Linked DNA regions of Oryctolagus cuniculus. The protein of the gene in region 1 interacts with the protein of each later gene in a pairwise test. Links are inferred from orthologs where the notes say so. Each region holds a gene or a part of one and is shown on either strand. Other genes may lie near its edges.

What was found.
Region 2: the proteins of EGLN3 (region 1) and FOXJ2 interact in binary tests that used the Homo sapiens proteins (3 or more experiments, as listed by UniProt). The two-hybrid records come from large-scale screens. The link is inferred for Oryctolagus cuniculus from reciprocal best matches to the Homo sapiens genes EGLN3 and FOXJ2.

The regions. Positions count from the first base shown.
Region 1 is NC_091443.1:41,509,883-41,514,277, forward strand, and holds the start of EGLN3 (prolyl hydroxylase EGLN3), read left to right. Parts: upstream 1-1,440; 5' UTR 1,441-1,456; coding exon 1,457-1,663; exon of another isoform or gene 1,664-1,710; coding exon 1,711-2,190; intron 2,191-4,395. UniProt on the Homo sapiens protein: Prolyl hydroxylase that mediates hydroxylation of proline residues in target proteins, such as PKM, TELO2, ATF4 and HIF1A. Target proteins are preferentially recognized via a LXXLAP motif.
Region 2 is NC_091440.1:101,908,152-101,911,957, forward strand, and holds part of FOXJ2 (forkhead box protein J2), read left to right. Parts: intron 1-1,573; coding exon 1,574-1,648; intron 1,649-2,306; coding exon 2,307-2,375; intron 2,376-2,529; coding exon 2,530-2,670; intron 2,671-2,877; coding exon 2,878-3,067; intron 3,068-3,806.

The DNA.
Region 1 (4,395 bases):
GAATTCTCTGGGGGGAAGTTCCCAGTCACTCTTCCATGTAGACTTCCAGTCCAGAATCCCGTGATGAGGCTGCCATGGCTCAGGATCCCAGTAAGCATTTATGAGGCACCTATCACATACCAGGGGTGGATGGAGGATGGAGGATGATGGGCGCCTGCCCTGGAATTTTAGGTGACAGCTCCTTGAGCACTGACCCATTTAAGCTTCCGAGGAGTGGCGCCTCCTGCTGACCATTCATACCAGGAGTGTCAGCTACTCAGCGACTTGGCAGAGGACTTCCTTTCAGTGTGAGAAGTTTCACCAAAGTTTCTTAAACCCTGTACGCTGACAGCTCCTCCCAGAACACCCCTAAGCCTCTCCCTGTGCCCTCACTGCGTTTCTTCCCGCAGAGGCCAGGACGAAGGAGAAAAAGTGACAGAATTGCAGGACACTGTGCACACAATCACGATACCCGAAAAGCCAGTTCCTTCTGTTGTGCAGTGAAGAAGCCAAGCTCACACTAAGGTGAAACCAAAAATATGGACATGGCTTTCCATGCAATATATGTGTCTCCCCTTCACACACACACACACACACACACACACCCATTCTGATTTCTAGTGCTCAGTAGGACAGGGTCAAAAAACCCACAATGCAGTTAGCTAATCTGTGGGCCACTACGACAACTTACGGTTGTGTCTGTCCCTCTCTCCCTGGCGTGGGGATACAACTGCATGTGGAGAAAGAAGAGGGACTTGGGGGACAGGGCGAGGAATATGCCCATATATTACATAGCTGTGTCACTGATTTTGCAGGTAGAATTTCAGAACATCGTGTTTTACTAAAACCGTGGAAGGTAAGTGGATGGAGACACCCAGCAAAGCAGAATGCAGTATTTGCTGTGCCTGATCGGCTATGGCTCGGCGATTCTTCATTGGCCACATCCCTCTAAGTTGAGCACAGAGTAGGAGCTAAGGGACCATGCTACTGTGTTCATGCTAGCTACAACTGCGCTCCTCCCGCCCGGCGGCTTGAGCCCGCTGGCTCGTGTCAGAGCCAAGGAGAAGGAAGAAGGAAAGGCACTTGGGAGGGCAAGAACGAGACCACCGTAGAACCTATGAGCCTTTGTTGCTGCGTTTGTTATTTTGCTCAAAAGCCTGTGCGGTGGCCAGCACGGACCGTGGCAATACCCCGCGCTCCTAATTTCATTCACTCGTAAGAGTGCGGATCCAGGTTTTCACTTTTGTTTTAGGATTTCATGCAAAACACTATGCAAATAGAGAGCATTGGAAAATTTCCAGCTCACAAACAAGTGAGACTGGCGACCGGCTCTTCGGGATCCCTGGCGGCGGGGCAGCCCCGGCGGGGCAATGGGCGGGGTCGGGGAGGGCGGAGCGGGGGCGGTCCCTGGGCGGGGACTAGGCGGGGCCGGGGTGGGCCCGGGGCGGGGCCCGTGACGCGTCGAGTCCGCCGGTTCATGGGCCGGACCTCAGCCGCTCCCAGCCACAGGCCGCTGCCGCCGCCTCCGCCGCCGCAGTGGTGGCTCCGCATCCTCAAAAGGGGCCCTCGGACTCCTCTCTGGGCCAGTCCAGCACTGGTTCGCGGAGCCCCGCACAACTCGGGCTGGCCCCTGAACGGCGAGCCCTTCCTGCCCGAGTTGCGGACAACTTTCCCTTGCCCTTGGGTGCCGCGGTGGCGCGGTGGCTCGGTGGCGCGGTGGCTCCCGGACAGTGCCCGCCGCAGGTTCCTGAACCCAGCGCTCCGCTCGCTGCGCCTCCGCTGGGCGCTGCGGCGGGTCGCTCCCCGCTCCCCGTGCGCACGTGGGGTGTCCCTGCCCTGCGTCCTGCGGGCGAGATGCCCCTGTCACACATCATGAGCCAGGATCTGGAGAAAATTGCCGTGGATTACATCGTGCCTTGCCTGCACGAGGTGGGCTTCTGCTACCTGGACAACTTCCTGGGCGAGGTGGTGGGCAACTGCGTGCTGGAGCGCGTGAAGCAGCTGCACCGTGAAGGGGCCCTGCGGGACGGCCAGCTGGCCGGGCCGCGTTCCGGCGTCTCCAAGCGGCACCTGCGCGGCGACCAGATCACGTGGATCGGGGGCAACGAGAAGGGCTGCGAGGCCATCAGCTTCCTCCTGTCCCTCATCGACAGGCTGGTCCTGTACTGCGGAAGCCGCCTGGGCAAATACTACGTCAAGGAGAGGTCCAAGGTAGGAGGCGCGCGGGCGCGGGGGGCAGCCGGAGTGAGCTGTCCGTCGCCTTCGCCGGGCTGCGCGCGAACTTCGGGGTTCATCCCAGAAGTCAGCCGGGTTCCTTTCTGGCCCCTCCACCCGGCCTTGACTCCCAACCCCGTCCAGCTCCTCTGTGCGAAAGTCCGCGTTAAGAGGCTGTTAATAGTGGCTGCTCTTGGTGATACAAGCCCGAGCAGCTGGGGCTTTGGGTCCGATTTTAAGGCACAGAGGTGCTCCGAAATCCAGACAGGAAAGGATGTTGGGAACGTTGTGTTTGACCTGAGACACACCTGGACACACCCACGATTGCCCTTCGTTGTAGGCTGATGGGATTCTTAGAGAAACAAAACAGCTGTGTTTTGCAGTGTGGCGGTTGCTTTGCGGAGCGTGGCAGGTGTGGGAAGGTGGGACGAAAGACTAGGACAAGTGTACGGTCTAAACTCTTCGCTTCGCAGGGCTGCCCTTGACTTCTTGGACAGGCGTACTGTCGGACGGACCATCTGCTTGTCTGGAAATTCTCTCCTTGTGCTAACCGCAAGCCACCACCTTCCTTTCCCCGACTATGGTTTGATGGCAAAATCCTCTTAACACAAACAGTTCAGTGCTCCTGAGAGAGGGGTCAAGTGCCTCCGGAAAGAAAGCATGTTTTTGTTCACAGAGCCGGAAGTGACTCCCTGGTTGGTAATTTATCTTGGAAACAGGTATAGGTAGATGGGCAGAAATATGGGAACCCTCACCATGATGTTGGTGCAAGCGTGTTCCTTTGGGATAGAATTGTTGCTCCGTCTCCTTCAGTTGCCAGTCCAGCCAGTTTTCCACTGGCAGTTCTGAGTGATTTGCACTTGTAGAGTGGTCTGGAAAGAGACACGCGAAATTGTGGAACACGTTTCCTGAAAACAAGTGAGGCGGAGTAGACTAGCACCGGAGGGGGAGGGAAGAGGAACATTCACCCAGGTACCACCATTCTTTGGACAACACACATAGTGTTTCTCAATCTGAGATAGGTCCAGTGATAAAAGGAAGCAGTGTTGTCTCATCTGGCCCACAGAGAGGAGCACTCTTAGTAACAGGGCAGTTTGCCAGGACGGCACGGGCGTGGGAAGCCAAGGGTCGAGGGGTGTGCATGGAGCAGGGAGCCAGACTGCTGTGTACCTTTCAATCCAGGAGCAACGGAATAGCATCTTCGAAGAAAATGCTGCTTTCTAAATTTTACTTTGATTTGGGAAAAATCCACCACAAATCGCACTGTGGAGAGGCCGACGTCAGAGTGTTTCTTTACTCCGCTCCTATCGTCTTGGTGGTGGATTAGAAAGTCATTTTTCTTTAGGTTAGGCTTGTTTTTATACCAAGTGACCTTCCTGGTCTCCTGGGGTGGGGCAGGGGGCTTAGCCTCAGTTGTTGCTAGGCCCTCCTAGCTTCAACCCAAGAGCAGATGGCTTTTTAACAGTTTTTTCTTTTTCCTTTTTTAAAGGTTTTGTTTAAACTCAGGTGTTAGAAATTTCTCCTCTGGAATTCTAGGAACAGAATTTGCTCTGGGGGAGGTCAGAATTAATTGGTAAAATCAGGTCACTTGCGTATTTGAAGGTTAAAGGGTTTTATTTAGCTTCAAGTTAGTGCATAGGGTGAGGGTTCCAAACTAGAATGAACTCACATGGAATGAAAAGCACAGTGTAAGTTAGGGAAAGGAAAAATGACTGCGAGATAGGAGTATTCGGCTATGGGTTATCTTCTGGGTGGAAAACAACTCCACTTACCCCTGTCCGAAGGTGACCGGTCTTGTCTGCTGAAGGTGCACTGCGCGTACCTAGATTTCCAGATTCGCTGGGGCGGTTTGGGCGCAAAGGCCTTCATCCCTGCCCTGGAGAAAAATCACCTGTGGATTAGGGTATTCCCTGGCCAATTAGAACCAAATGCAAACCAGATTTGAGAAAATAGTAAAGAAAAAAAAATTTCTGTCCTTGTATGAAGAAGTCTTAGTGATGTCTTGTGGCCACGAGTTTCTTGCTGGAAGCTGGTTCCTGTAGCATGGTAGAGACCCATTTCCACAGGTGGGTTCGCCAGTTCTACATGACTCCTGTGACTGCTGCCTTCATTTACCCTTTTCACCTCTTGTGTTTCTTCCCTCAGCCAAGTCCTTGATGTGGTGTTGCTTCATAGAACACTTCAACCAGGTTTTTGGCAAAA
Region 2 (3,806 bases), on another chromosome or scaffold:
GGTTGTGGGGATGGCGGGCTGCTGTTGCTCATCATGTCGTCTTCTCTCCTCAAAAAAGACATTCAGTCATTTCACAGATATTCATTACTGTCCTGTGTTCGAGTCCCTGAACGAGGCATTACCCCCTCCTATCTAGAAGTAAGATCCCCGTCAGATTTCCATAGTTCTGTTGCACATAGTTACCATCTTTTACAAAATTGTACACCAAGAAAAATAATACGATCAGGTCCTTTACCAACAGCTGGCCCACTAAGCAAGTAGTGAGAGATTGCATTGCTTGGCTGGAGAGGAAGGAGGAAGGGGCTTCTTTTCCAAGCAAAGAAGGCAGGCTGGTGTTCTCAACTGGAGCAGCCACTCGTTTGCCAATGGTGGAGTAGGAATGGGGATTTAATGTTCTCTCCATAAATCACCTGTTGACATACAGACCGTATGATGCAGCTGGAGACTAGTGAAAGCATAGTTTCCCCTTTGTAAAAACAAGGGCACTTCAAAATGTTCATGAAAAATGGAATTAAGGGCAAAGTTTATTTTGGTGCAGAAAAATTTGCAAACCCATGCACAGCAGGTGTCTGCAGGCAGTTCATGCAAGGTGCATGTTATGAAAAAACTAAGTACATGGATTCCAACATTTCTTTTTTGCACCAAAATTTATCTTTTAATTCTATTTTCCCTGAACTTTCTGAAATGCGTCCCTATGTCCCTGCTAGTGGTCACAGCCTCCAACCCCACCCAACACATACACACAACCCTTTTTCCTGTGTGTGTGGCCACTCTGTGCACCACCGAGAAAACAAAGCTAATTGGTGCCTTTGTTTCACTCCTAATTTACATTTTGTTATACTTTATTTAAATAGTTTTTAAAATTGCTATTTTCCTACTGGTAGGGTTGTTTCAGGAATGGGCAGAGTGATTTTGAAGCATTTATGTTCCTGTCGTCAGTCGGGTAGACAGGTTCAAAGACTATGTAATCAGCTTTTCAGAAGCACCTGCTAATCAAATTTGAAGCCATTACCTTGCATCACTTTAATGTCTGCATTTTTCCTGTGTCATCACTCTTCCTATCTGATACAAATAATTCCCTCCATCAGTGTAGTTAAGAGGTGCTAAAGAGGCCAGTGCTGTGGCATAGCAGGTTAAGCTGACACCTGTGCTGGCATTCCAAATGGGCACCAGTTTGAGTCTCAGCTGCTCTGCTTCTGATCCAGCTCCCTGCTGATATGCAGGGAAAGCAGCAGAGGATGGCCCAGATCCTTGGGCCCCTGGACCCATGTAGGAGGCTATGAAGAGGCTCCTGGCTTCTGGCTTCAGCCTGGCCAAGCCCTAGTCAATGTGGCCATTTGGGGAGTGAACTAGCAGATGGAAGACCTCTCTCTCTCTGTTTCTCCCTCTCTCTCTGTACTCAGCTTTTCAAAATAAATAAAATAAATCTTAAAAAAATAAGGGGTGCTGAAGATCCTTGGATACTTGGACTTTATAGTATGCTGCTATGTTCTGTTGTGTTCCCTCTGCATCCTATTGGAAACACTTCTGCTTTGTTCAGTGCTGAGGTCTAATTTCGTCTCTGCTTCCCCAGAATTCAATTCGGCACAACCTTTCCCTCAACAAGTGTTTCCGGAAAGTGCCCAGACCTCGGGATGACCCTGGGAAGGTGAGATGCTGCTATCAGATTTGCAGGGAGGAGCAGGAAAGAGAGCTGAGTAGGTGACGGCCCGGGTCCTGTGGCTTTTTTAATTACCCAGAAGAGGAAATCATGTTAATTGAGAAGCAGCTTTATTTTTTTGTCAAAGGAAGAGCTTGTTGTCAAGCCCGTGGGCCCCCCTTAGGTTGTAAAATCTTTTTTTTTGTAAACTTTAAATAGAAATATTTATGGTAAAGTAGACTTAATAATCTTTTAGAATCCTTTCTACACAAAAATCGTTGGGTTTCCACCTTCGTAAGGGAGAAGGTACGGGTCCTTCTCTTCATCTGGCAGATGTAAATGCTAAAGTCCAAGAGGGATTTGCCTGGACCACAAGGGAAAGGATGGGTTACCTTTGGCCACATCTGGACATTTCCAGCTCATCCATTTCCATAGTCCTGCCCCAGAGGCCTGTGTCTGGGCCACTGGCATACCTTGGCATACTCTGCGGGTACTCAGATTTACTCCTCAGGCATTCTGGGTACGCTCAGGGTGCTGTGCGAATGTCCAGCCCTGTTCTTAACATGACTGACACATGGGTGTGAATCTTCCCCCCAGGCTACGTTTCTAAACAGGGGAACTTCTGTATGTAACAGTCATTCTCCGTGGGGTTGGGTTTTCCTTCCAGGGCTCCTACTGGACGATTGACACCTGTCCTGACATTTCCCGGAAGAGAAGGCACCCTCCAGATGACGAGGTAAGGTCCCACCTCTCCAGGAGTTGCGGTTTCTGAACCAGCTGCTCCTTCCCACTCTCTTCCTGGGTTACCTGGGCTCCAGCAGAGGTGGACCCAGGGGTCTTGCGAGGATGCTTTGCCTGCACTTACGGATTCCTTCCTTTGTAACCCTCAGCTGTCCCAAGACTCACCAGAGCAGGAAGCAAGCAAGAGCCCCCGGGGAGGCGTTCCAGGGACTGGAGAAGCCTCACTGTCTCCTGAGGGGAATCCTCAGATGTCTCTTCAGAGCCCCACATCCATTGCCAGCTACAGCCAGGTAGGGAGCTGAGGAGGCAGGGGTGTGGGGGGAGGGTGGGAGGCTGGATTCAGGATCAGGACCGATGAGAAAATGCTGCCGGGCTATGGCGCGGTCAGGAGGGGAGGAAGAGGATGGCAGGAGTGCCTGGTGACCACTGAAGGGTCGTTCGCATCACTCCCTCAGCTAGGACGTGGATACGGACCGAGTCTCCCGGTTTCTCTGCAGGGCACGGGATCTGTGGATGGCGGACCAGTGGCAGCAGGCCGAGAAGGTGCCGAGGGCGCCCCTCCCCTCTATAACACCAACCACGACTTCAAATTCTCCTATTCAGAGATCAACTTCCAGGATCTAAGTTGGTCCTTCCGCAACCTCTACAAATCCATGCTGGAGAAGTCCTCGTCCTCCTCCCAGCAGGGTGCGTTTGGAGCTGGGTGGGCGAATGGAATCCTGATATTATTTACTGAATGGTGATGTTCTCTCTTCTCCCTTATTTCTTGTTTATATTTACGTATCAATTTTTTAAAAAAAAGTTCATTTTATTTGAAAGGCAGAGAGAAAGAGAGTCTTCCATCTGCGGGTTCACTCACCCAATGCCCGCAATAGTTGGGGCTGGGCTGGGCTGAAGCCAGGAGTCTGGAGCTCGATGGGGGTGTCCTATGTGGGTGGTGGAATCCAAACGCTTCGAGCCATCCCCTTCTGCCTCCTAGGATGAGCATTAGCAGGAAACTGGAATAGGAAGTGGAGCTGGGACTCGAATCCAGGCCTTAGATATGGGATACAGGTATCTCAAGCTGTCTTAACCGCAATGTCAAATGACCACCCTGTTTCTTTAACACAAGAGGACGTTGGTCATTGGTTAGAGGAAGCGTGGCATGAGCTACAGCTGAAGTTGAGGGAGCTTGTCCGTCTATCCTGCAAGGACAGCAGTTTCAGGAGGAGAGCTGGGTTTTACCTTCATGAAGTGTGTTGGAGGATTCCTTTTAGATGTGTGACCGCTGGCATCCAGGTAATGACCACTAGGGGGCAGCAGCACTACCCTCACCCAGGGATCCCTGTATTTTTTTGTGAGAGCAATTTGCTTTTACTTTTTAATGTATCCATGCTTATGTTACCTTTTCTTATGAAAAAAAAAAAAAAACAAAACAAAAACTCAG